Linked DNA regions of Schizosaccharomyces pombe. The protein of the gene in region 2 binds, or shares a complex with, the protein of the main gene of each other region. Each region holds a gene or a part of one and is shown on either strand. Other genes may lie near its edges. The genes, in order: tel2 and tti1.

Region 1 (5,224 bases), on a different chromosome or scaffold from region 2:
GCTTTAGGCTTGCATACCTCAGTCGATAATTCACAGGAATTTATTTTACAGTTTTTGCGAACGACACTTTTATCCGTACCAACGTCCTCAATTGTTTCTATCTCAGCGGACCCAACAAGCTGGAATAATCTCAACGTTTTAATGAAGTATAATTTTATGTTTCAAAAGTTTAAACCTCGAGATTTTCATGCTCAAACAATTCAATCAGAAACTATGTTTATACCTCCTTGTTGGGACACTATCTCTAAAATACAGAGTGTCAATCATGAATTTAATATCGCCCTTTTTAAACAAACCGCTAAAAATTTTTACGATACTCTTGACATAAGTTTATTACTTGGTTTATTTGATAAGAGTATATCGATGTTGAACTGTCATTCCTCAAAAATATCGGATGGAGATATACCCTACAAATCGCACCAAGTTTTTTTGCAAGAACTACAGAACAAGTATAGCGAGATTAAAACGTATTCTTCAAACAAATTAAATAAATCCTCCATAAAATCAAGTTTGTGGAAGGACTTAATTCAATAATTGTAATTGGCCTAAAGACATTCATTATTATTACAAAATCATATTATTTAATTAAAATGCATTAATGAGTTTCTGTCAAAATTTCAACCTCATAAATAATATTTTTTTTCTTTTAAATCATGACCATAAAGAACTATTAAAGTCCGGCTAATCCAAATCGCTCTGGAACCAAAGGAGCTGAGTCATCCAGTAATTTTTCCAATGCGAGCGTTCTGAATTCTGAAAGTTTATTTTCAAATAGAATTAAAACAGCTGCTGAGAGTGACTTAACTTTCTCACCTTGATCAGGGCTTTCAAAAAGAAACTTAGTATACGCCTCAAAGAAGAGCAAATGCTTCCCAAACTCATTAGCTAAAGTACGCCCAGAAGATATTTCTAAGATAGCCAAAAAACTAAACAAAAGCCCTTCATTAACTTCTGGAGTGTCTGATCGAAGTCGGCAGACCTCATTTAAAACGTCAACATATTCCCGGAGCATTCTGTTTGCCCCTTCTATCTTTGAGGTAAAAGTTTCAAAAAAGAGAATACCCAATGTCTTAAGATAGTAGACTAAAAACAAAGGCTCAATAAAAGCCGTTTTCCTAGATGCCAGCATATAACCACTGGTGAGGAGCAGGAACAATGATTTATCTACCTTAAGCGATAATCGATTGGCCTTTGGGAGTGGCTTTTTCGACTCGATTTCCGACTGCTTTGAAATATACCGTGTCTGTAAGAATTTCGGTCCCTCCGCATAATCCTTGCATTCACTCATTACCGGAAAAACTAATTTCCTTTCTAATTCATCACTAATCTTTTCAATAGTGGGTGAATAAAACTGATCGTGTAAATTTCCTGGAAGTAACTGGCTGGGAAAAAGACGTTCATTATCATCATCGTTGAATTTGCTAGCAGCTAAAGAAATACAAGATAAGATAAGTATTTTTTGGCGCATTGAATAGTCACTAACAAATAAATTTGTACAAATAACAGGACCACATATATCTAAACAGGTTAACAGAAGTTCCACTATAGCAGTCATTTGCATTTCATCAAAGTTCATTAAGTCAAATCGATTTTGTAAGGAAATTAACGTTTGTAACAATTCATCTGCATGATCTCGTAATTCGGTTCCAAAAGCAGACTTTCGTTTTATTAACTTAGAAGCGTTTTCCAGTGCAACACGTTGTTTCTCAAAACTTTCTGTGTCTTTTAACATTTTGCACAAATCTTGTACGTACACAGGAGAATGCGTCTTGGATCTAGAGACAGTTGGATCGTCGTCCGTGTCCTCACTGTCAATATCAGGAAAATCGTAAGGCTCCAAGTCATCTCCCCTTATTAAGTCATCGTTTTTAGAAATCACTGGCTTCTCCAAGTGAGTTACATTCGTCTCTTCCTTTTCTATCGAAGTCTCTGCGATAACACTTTCGTCATTCAAAATTTCAATAGGCAAAAATTCATCCTTGAGTGAGCTCAACGATTTGAGAACTTTTGCTTTCGTAGTCTTCATTATTGGAACGTCAAAGGCTAACGGGTTACTTAAGCTGACACCCGAATATGTAGAGATTACTTCGGCCATTATCATTCCATGCATTCGAATATCATCATCTAGACTATCTAAACGGCAAGATATTGCATTGGAGAACATTAGGGATTTGGAAAGATTATTCAAATATTTTGCTTCAAGTTTCGGAATAAATAGTAATAAATATATTGTTAAGCTCTCTTGAGCTAGCAGCGTATAGCTCCTCAAAAATTGCGCATTTGACCATATATTAAACAGAGAGTCCACTGTTTTTTCTAGCTCCTTTTTATCAGATTCCTTATAAGATATACTCGAACAAACTACTTCTACCCTTTTAATTATTAAATTTGTAGGGACGCCCCAATAAAATTCAATTAATCGAAGGAAGTGAGTGGATGAAAAGTTCAGCCTTAATAATGTAGCCAATGAACCTGTTATACGATCATCTCTTGCGGTGGAATATGAAAAATTGGTGGGATATTTGGTATTATGTTCAAGAAGAAGTTGATTGAGAAACAACATTTGATCAGAGACCGTCAAATCTGCAAATAATTTTTGTAGCTGAACACAAAATTTTTGTGTTAATGGAATCAATGGGTTAATGAATGCCTTTAAATTGGATGAGTGTAATAAATAATGGAATAGCTTTGAATATATTTCTGGGGTTTTAACAGCAGGTTTAGATATAATGCAAGCCAATTTTGAAGATAAAACGCCAATGTAGTCGGCCATTGATGAAGCCTTCAAACGTTTTGAATCATCGTAAACCTTGAAGGTAAGCATTGCAGCAGACATTGAATTAGTAATTTTAAAGTTTCCCAAGAAAAAAATAAATTCAGTCCACAAAGATTGCTTTTGATGATCAGATAATACAGTAGATTCCCATATCAATTTACAGTTATCGTCAAGGTCTATACATTCAAATGCTTTTTCCAGTAGCTCAAGATAAACTGTAACAAGATGAATGTTTTGCAAATTAGCCTCTTGAACAAAATTATCTAGTCGAACACATAGCAGTTTTAAGCCCAAAAGAGTAGAAAAACATTTTGCAAGGAGAAAATCTATTTCTGAATTAATTTTCCCATTCCAGAATGTGGGCACTATCACACTAATTAACTCATGATATAATCTTAGATTGCAAGGAGAAGGAACACCTATATGCTGCAGTTCTTTAAGGATTTCTTTTAAACGCGGCTTTTGAATAGGTTTGGATAGTTCGCTAGCAAAGGATTTCATATCCTTGGAGTTGAAAAATAACCGAATTATTTTGGGGTGTTGAGAAGACAGTAACCTTCGGTGGATTAATTCACCGGTCAGCAATCAGCAATATGCAGGATTATAGGCTGCTTGGCTAAAACAACACCAAAACTCTTTACAAAGTATATAGTTATTTTTAATTTGTTGTCCATGTAAATTACTTTAAATTCTATTAATTGTTTTTCATTCTATAAAGGTAATTTGAACTCAATTCATATAGTTTTTTAAATTGTGCTCTTAAACTTCCTGAGAATGGTGTATGCAACAATTACATGGGTAGCATCGGGATATTCTGTGAAACCTGTAAAGCTCTTCGATGTATTATTTTCACGGACTTTTCACAGCCTGAAATTGAATAGGAACTTACAATTTACGTGACAGAAAAAGGATATTATGTATAATTTAACTTAAAGACATTTTGTGCTTATATGCAATAGTTGTAACAAAAGAATGGATAGTTATGCTTTCAAATTCGCTTTCTATAAGTGAAGTATCCTGTTGCTTTATAAGACTAGTTGCAATATTTCTATTTGCTTTTAAAAAGCAAGTAACTTTTAGTTTAAAACTGTTTTTGTGTACCTCCCAAATTAAATGTTAATGCTCCGCTAATCGGTAAGCTAATCCGTGAGAAAAAATGCATTAATTTTTCTTGTTTCGTTCAAGTCAACACATTGCAAATAAAGGTCACTAAATTTACAATTCAGGATTTTTAAATTGAAATATTAAACATAATACGTGGACGAGTGCAAAAAACTACCAGTTTATTTAAATAAATAAAAAAAAAATATCATAACATGTATTATCGTAATCTTTTCCTTAGACTGCTCTTCACACGATGTCTGAATAACCGTCAACAAAAAGCTATTTATAAAAATTTCAGAAACAGGTAGTCTCCTTCACAGCACTGCGAACGAAAACTCTAGGGAAGCAAAACAAACGGAGTTTATCTGCCTTGTTATATACTCGTTAAACGACAACTCAACACACACCACTATCCACCACCAACAACAAAATCCTTAATAAAAATGTCATCTCATAAACCCGTTCGTCCTAATGAAGCTCTTCACAAGGAGGCTTTGGAGGAGCTTGATGCTAAGATCAACGAGGCGAAAAAGCGTTTCGTAAGTAGTTTTAAATTCTTGAATATTGAAGGCTAAGCTTTTTTTTTTTTTCATAACTATGAAAGCTTCAAAAAATCACTTGTTTCTTATATAGTTTTCGCATCTTAACTAATCAACTAGAATGAGCATAAGGAGAAGCTTGGTGCCATTCGCGGTGGTGGTTCATTGCAGGAGAAGAATGCAGAACTTCGCGCTGAATTAGACAATATTCGCAATGCTCAAGCAGCTATCCGTTCTTCTAAGCAAACTCTCATCAACAAAGTCAAGGCTCAAGATGAACTTTTGAAAAAGAAGGTATGTTTTGCATTAATATATGTAAGCACTAAAGTTTTGTGTTGGAAAACTTTATGAGCTTGGTAAAGAAACAAAATGTTTACTGACATACTTTTAGGTTAAGGAGTTGACTGCCATGAAAAAAACTGTTCCTTTCAAGTCAGAAGTGGAGCTTGATAAACATGTTAAACAACTTCAAGCCGCCGTTGACTCAGGAACTTTAAAGATTGTTGATGAGAAGAAATACCTGCGTGAAATTTCTCAGTGCAATCGTACTAGAAAGAGCTTCGTTGAGTTGAACGCTCTTCAAACTAGTATTGATACGATTAGAAATGAACTTAACGAGCTTCGTGATCAACTTAATGATTCAGAATCAAAGAAGTTGAGTGACAAGTTCGTAGAAATCCGTTCTGAGCTTGATGAGGTTCGTAAGCAACAAGACGGTTACTATAAAGATCAGCGTAAGCTCATAGCAGAAAGAGATGATGAGAAGACTGCACTCGATGATCTATATAATCAACGAAGAGCTTTA
Region 2 (7,209 bases):
ATTTGCCCTTGGGGTCGAAGTCAGAACCACCTTTGCCACCACCCATGGGAAGGCCCGTCAAGGCATTCTTGAAAATTTGTTCAAAGCCCAAGAACTTGAGGATGCTCAAGTTGACGGAAGGATGGAAACGCAATCCACCCTTGTAGGGGCCCAAAGCCGAGTTGAATTGGACACGGTAGCCGGTGTTAACACGGCAGTTACCTTTATCGTCCTCCCATGTGACGCGGAATTCTAAGACACGTTCGGGAATGGAAATGATTGGAAGCACACGCTTCAACTCGGGATGAACTTCAAAGAGCTTGGAGCTCTCGATGGAGCCCACAATCTCCTTGTAGGCTTGTTGAAATTCAGGTTCGTATGGGGTACTCATGGTGGGCCAAAAAAGTAAACAAAATCGAAGGTAGTGATATAGAGTGTATATCTATATAATAATGATAAGTTTAGAGAATTCGAGATATCAAAAAAAGGCGACCTCGAAAACTTTTAACAATACAAATACAGGCTGTACAATCCAAAGTTCTATACAAATCCGTATTCGACGCCTTCAACGCAAAGACTTTCAAAATTTAACTACAATCCAACAAAACTCTTACAACGTGAGTATGTAAGAGATATCGATCCGGGTTCAAAACGCTTACCAGATGTACCAGTGCAGTGTAGCAGGAGGATTCAGGGACGTGCTGGCCATGTCTGCTATATTTATACACTTAACAAGCAATAATCAACAGTCACACCAGATACCTTGTTTTTTGGGAGACCATACGTTTGCTAATGGCTGACGACTTGCAATAAACCTGATGGAAGAGCGATGGCGGAGATAACAGACGAATAGGATGTAAGTATGATGTCAAAATCTCCAATCACAATGCTCCTATATATCTCTTTTCTCTATAATTGGATAGTGGAAAAGAAGATTACTTAAGCGGAAAATTTCCGATCTGATAAGCCAACCCCCTCACAGAATTCCTTCGTCTCCTGCTCAACCAAATAAAGATAAGATAAGCATTGCTTAATGATTGGTCCGTGCAACGGCTATCACCCACCCTACTGAAAATGTGGGGAAAACGCAGCTCCTCCGGGAAAATCCATGGAATTATAGAAGATCCTTAGTGGGATGGGGTGCTTGGGGGGGGGGGAAAGATGTTTTTAGATGAAAAAAAAATGTTTTAGAGAGGTTAATGTTGTAATATAGAAGATTTTCGCTTTCTGTTGATTAACAGTTTCTATAATTTTTTTAAGAAAAAAAATCTGGAAAAGTCCAAGTCCTTTGTTAATCTAATCTCGTTCCAATCTCTCACATCCATTTAAAGGGTCTATTCTTTACTCCTTTCAGTTGCTGCCCCCTTACTGATAACAAGGATAACTAAGGATAGTACCAAAAGAAAAAAACGCTAAATACTGAAATAGGTCGAATCACACTGAAACGGGTAGGTTCTTCCAGGCAGACCAAATCGCAAATACATATCCGAAAATTCGAGTAAACGGCCTTGCCTCGGTTTTACAGTATGGACTAAACATTCGCTCATCCAAACGTATTGCGCCTTAGCAGCCATAGTCATGACTAGCTTTCAATAGAAAAAAGACAAACGAAACAGAGTCATGAAATTCGTAGCGTAGATGTAAGTTAGAAAAATTTCAAATTTCTTTATTTTTTGGTCTTCTGATAACCCACTATCCCACTATCGTTTGTCCATTTATTCCTTGCCCGATCATGTGGCTGTTTGCTTTGAATCTAAAATTGGATAGAAAATAGTTCATTCGAAAGATTAGCGAAACTACGAAACAAGGTGCGATCGTCGTTGTGCTCGGTAGCAAGATGAGTTTGTTTTTTAGTATAATTTAGGTAGCTGCCAGCCTCGTTTCGTCAACTTAGCTAAATTCGTTGAGTCTGACTCATTGAATGTAGGTAAAATGGCTCATCTAAATCGAAACAAGTTGAATCGAGTACAGCCTTAGTCAAATCAAATAATGCCAAGATGAAAAAAGTCGAGCCTTTGCCAATATAATTTTATGCGATGTAATGGAATTCTTTGCCTGATTTTTAGGCTCTTTGTATTTTCTTTTAAAACACGGAAAATTCTAAAACTGGTAACCACTTTTATTATCGTTAAATGATGGAAATCAATGGTTTTTTAGCTCCTTTTTTCGGTTGATTCAAGTGTAACAAATTGTCCAAAGAAGGGAGTGGTTCCTCTTGTGTCTCGGTTTTCCCGCTGCCTTGTTGCCCAAGCAAATCATTGAAAACAGTCTCCGACGTCTTTGCTCCGACAGGTTCCAAAACTTCATGTGTTCGGCGATATGTACGTTGAACACGTTGCTTTCCCGGAATTAACAATTCAGTAGAGAAAGTGTCAATCATTTGAGACCCTCGAACTTCTCTCTCATAATACACTGCGTCGGGATTTTGCTTGGAAAATGCGTTCCAAGTTTCTTCCACCAATGATTCATCCCCCGCATACTTTTGAGACATGTGAGTAATGGCTCGTATGATGGGTGCCGTTATCCCCATAAGCTTCAAATACACTACAATGCTCAATTTGTTAGCCACACATGCTGAAGTTACTTTTAGCATTGCCCTTTGCAAACGATGCTCACTAGAATATGTTCGAGCAACATTGAAAAGATGCCAACGTTGGCACAACGTCTCCAATCGTGGAAGCAAATCTTGGCGAATCCTAGATGTCATAAAATCATCTGCAAGGGCGCAAACTTGATATATAGTTTCTAATGCGCATTCTACTAGCAGTTCGTTATCCGTGTCAAGCTGAATAACGACCAATGGCCAAAATGTATTAATAGCAGGATAAAATGTGTTTGGCTCCTTAGCCAAAACATTGCTTCCATAGCTCAACAATTTTAACATTTCCACTCGTATCGTAATTTGTTCATGTGATAAGAATAACTGCGCCTTTTCCGTGATTTTCCTTACCATATCGACGACATCATCTTTTTGCTTTTCTCCTTGTTCGTCCATAACATTACTATTTATGTTTTCATGATCAACTGTGGTCTCACCCATATTTTCATTTTCTTTGCCCTTCTTTTCTTTTTCCTTCATTGCATGTTCGCGAAACTGTTCATGTCCACTTTTCGTTTCTTGTTGTTCATCGTGTATCATATCCTCTAGTTCATGATCATCTTTTGGAAGAGGATAATTAGGGTTCTCTAATAGTAGTTGAACGAATTCGCGAATCTTTTTACATGGCTTATTTTTATCCTCGTTCATTGCGTCCTCCTCCACCCCGACGATGAGCTTTTTCTCCTCGCCATTTATACTTTCTTGCTTTATTATGGCATAAAGAATTCCAAGCAACCCTTCTGTAAGCCGTGCGTAACCATGGTAAGCATCCAAAATCCCAAAAATAGCATCCACTACATCTCCAATGTACCGAATGCATCCTCCATCGTCATTCTTTATTACATAAGCCATCACAATTGGAAGTTGAGGTGATACGTCTAATGTGTTCAATTTGAGGGCAACTGAGTTGACCACATAGTCAATATTTTCTCTAAGTAACTCTGCTGGCGTCGAGTAGTTGCAATTTGTCGCAATTGCTTGAATACATGCCTCTGCAAACGAAGATACATAAGGAGAAGCAAACGCCAAATGTTCAAGGAGAGGATAAAAATATGCCATTAATTTTGATCGAAACTTTACTCCTTGTAAAGAAGAAATCCAGCTAATGCTGTCAATAGCAATGCAAGAACGAACACACAAAAGATTATACTTTTCCTTTTTCTGCTTATCCTCCAACGATGCTTTCGTAAAGACATTTAATTGCGATAATTGTTGCAATACTTCGAATGAATATTGCTCTAATGAATCAATATACATTTCCAAACTGTCCACCGTTTCTACGTCACTTTTCAAAAGTACCATAAATGCCCAAAATGCACGAACCGAGTTTTCATTTGTTGCTGAGGTAGCCTTAGAAAGTAAGGACTGCATAACATATTTAACATTAGGTGCCTTTGCGAAGCTTGTAACAATCTCTTGTGTTGTTCTTTCCATCTCATTTCCACCAAAAAATTCACCATGGATGTACTCATTCGAAGTACTGGATGTTAAAAGCTTCTGCGAATTGGAATCAATTCCCGATGACTTTGGTACAAGTTGGCTGAGTATACCATCCAGTAAAGGCTCCATGAGCTGCAAAGTCTTAGGAAGATGACTGGATATACTTAAGAGACTTTTCAATCGGTTCAACTCCTCCAATTTATTATCTTCTGAAGCAAAAGTGGAAACACTAGACCATGTAGTAGACCAATCATTTAGGCATTCAGTTAATACTGATTCCATAGTAATATTGTTGAATGATTCAATGAGAGAAACGAGTTTGTTCATCCCATAGTCCCTTAATTTTGGATTTTCTTTTTTATTGATCAATTTTAGCATGCTCTCTAGTAAATGAATCCTACAATCTTTTAGTGAATCTAAACAATCTCTAAATAGGATAAAGCAAAAATCAAATAAAGCATCTTGTACATGTAAGTTTTGTGAAGAACGAAGGTGAAGAATTGCCTTGACGGCATTGCTTAATTGTTGGCAGGTAGCGCGTTTCCAAGACTTTGTACGCTTCGTTGGGCCAAAAAAATGAGAATTAGAAGAAGCATCTTTTTCATCTGGCAAATCTTTTGTGTTATCGTCACTAATAGCTTTCACCACTGTATCACCTAAAATATTCAAAGAGATACACACGTTTTTAAAATACTGACAGGTTCCATTTGGCGCCAGTCCCTTTGTCAATCCCGATACTATGCCAGGAAGAAAAGTAGTAAGAAATTCTGTTGGTAAGCGATATTGCTTTGGGCATATTAGCTTTTGGACGCAACACAATGAGGCAAACTGTAATCTCCGTGAGCTATTTTTATTTGGAATAATATCCAAAGCACTAGAAAGAGCTCTCGCAAAGAGAAGATACTGTCTTTTATCGTGAAAATTAGGCTTAAAATCTGTAATAACGTTCTCAAGCGTTTCGAAAGTAATTTCTCGAACACGAAAATCTTGTTCCACAGTTTCCGAAGGAGATTTCCATCCATCTGCTATATTAAGAAGCATCAATAATAGTTGCATCGTCAACATTTCATTATGAGCTTCCCTCCAACCATGCTTGTAAAGCAAATTCACGCACTGAATGGCATACTCCACTCCTGTACTTGGGACACGATACCAGGACTTTAGTACAGGTACAATTGGAAAAAATATGTAATCGCATAAATTTAGTGGTAAATCGGCGTCTGTATTGGTCAATGCTTTTTCCAGCCCAAAGTACGCATCCTTCAACGAGTTCTTTAACCCATTGGAGTCAACAGATGAAGTTTCAGAAGATAGAGGAAGAGAATAGAAGCTTAACTTTCGAAAAGGATCTCGAATTTGTGCGAAAATACTCTGTATATGAGACATGTAGAGAAACCATGAAGTTATAGAGATGGTAGGTCATATACAAGCAAACCATTTAAAAATGCATACTTTTGCGATTGGAAATGTATATGATATTACAGTATTCTCTAATAAATAATTCAATATTATTCAAATGATTTGAATATTTAATGTCGTGCTAAATTATAGCAAGTGTTTTGACTAGATGCACAGCCAATTCCCAGTCGGTTTTCGTGAGAAACATTGAAAATATTTAGCAAAATGAGTTGCAATGATTTGACTTTGTTCTTAAAAACTTGGAAAGATATATTGCAAAAAGCTGCAAGTTTTAGGGTTACATTCAAGTTCTTACTGATGACCATTACTTTGATCTCAACTAAAATTTTAAATTAAAGAGAGAATTTTTGAAGCTATGCAATTACAATAATAATAACTTCGTAGCCTTTCAGCCTTTTAGCGTATCTGTTTACATTGAATTAAAAACTCGATAGTATTATTTTATATTTTTTAATAAACATTTTAACGTGTGTGTCGAAAGACATATATATAGTATAAATAATTTGTAGCTCAAATTACTTTGCTATGCAGACTAAGACTGGTTTAATGTGTGCAATGGAAGTAGTGGATGTATTCACTCAAATTTATAAGGGTATAACCTTTTTACTAGTCTAGTTTTGTAGTTTCAAGCTTCTAGTCCTCTATAGTCCTTAAAAAAGTCGTTAAGTTCATAAAGACGATACAACTTAAGAGGTAGCCAACTCATAAGAGATTTTCTGCTACATACCTTTAACAAGCGAGGAACACAGTAATTTCTGAATTTCTATTTGTAGTCAAAAATCACTGAATTATCAGTTTGTTTCAAAAACGAGAGGATTGTTTAAACTAATTTGCATTTTCTTAAACCAAACTTATTGTAACTTGAATAATCTCTTTAATCTATTTATTTTGAAGGTCAATGAACTCTTAGACAGATATGAAAATTGCTCAAAATAATACCGTAAGCTTTCCAAGAAACTAGATGCTGGTATTTTAAACAGTATGGATCAAAAACAAGAAAAAGTTGAAACTCATAAATGCATTCAACTGCACGACATATTTATTTCCTTCATGTTTTGATTTTATATACTTGGAATACGTTTCACCAGATCTTTAACGTTTTCTTACGCACTTCCATAAAATCTCACACCATGGTGAGACATGAAAATAACGAAATTTCAAAGTCACTTAGAACAAACTACAATTAATGAGTTGGTTGTTTAAATAATCTAATAAAAAATGTCGTATAAATTAGACCAACTCACTCGTCTTCCTGAAAACAAGAAATGTTTTGATTGTGATGCTCCAAATCCACAATGGGCATCTTGTAATTTGGGAATCTTCATTTGTTTGGATTGCAGTGGACAGCATCGTGGTTTGGGAGTCGAAAAGAGCTTTGTCCGCAGTATTACCATGGACAATTGGAGTGAACGTCAAGTGAAGATGATGGAGGTAAGCATCAGGATTGATACGGGCTATTGGAGTTTGTTGGTTATTTTACCAAAAAAAAAACATATATATATAATAATTCATTTGGCTGAGAGGGTAGCGCTATTGATCTGCGAGTTTGCTTGCCGCTATTTCGAATTTTTTCCAAGTCATTTAGTGCCTTTTTTTGACAAGAATAATGTTTAATGTTAAAAACAAGTACATGACGCGCAATTGATTATCACCTGAAGTTATAAAATGCAAGCTCACTATAATTTCATCAATGACTTGAAACAACATATATAGCCCACATTTGTTGCATGCTCCTGACTAACTTCTATACAGGTTGGTGGAAATTCTAATGC

The links.
Region 1: tti1 (region 2) and tel2 share a complex: the UniProt entries of both Schizosaccharomyces pombe proteins name them as parts of the TORC2 complex.

What each region holds. Positions count from the first base shown.
Region 1 is NC_003424.3:4,732,915-4,738,138, reverse strand, and holds tel2 (TTT co-chaperone complex LRR repeat subunit Tel2), read right to left. Parts: upstream 3,319-5,224; 5' UTR 3,278-3,318; coding exon 671-3,277; 3' UTR 541-670; downstream 1-540. Other genes in the region: dli1 (meiotic dynein intermediate light chain Dli1/Dil1), read left to right, coding at 1-534; SPOM_SPAC458.02C (mRNP complex protein), read left to right, coding at 4,324-4,419, 4,540-4,713, 4,811-5,224. UniProt on the Schizosaccharomyces pombe protein: Component of the TORC1 and TORC2 complexes required for the regulation of the cellular respons to changes in available nutrients. Required for normal entry into S phase. Regulates activation of the DNA replication checkpoint.
Region 2 is NC_003421.2:1,420,443-1,427,651, forward strand, and holds tti1 (TTT co-chaperone complex, armadillo-type fold subunit Tti1), read right to left. Parts: upstream 5,426-7,209; 5' UTR 5,405-5,425; coding exon 2,108-5,404; 3' UTR 704-2,107; downstream 1-703. Other genes in the region: NADP-specific glutamate dehydrogenase Gdh1, read right to left, coding at 1-370; SPOM_SPCC622.14 (GTPase-activating protein), read left to right, coding at 6,656-6,868, 7,190-7,209. UniProt on the Schizosaccharomyces pombe protein: Component of the TORC1 and TORC2 complexes required for the regulation of the cellular respons to changes in available nutrients.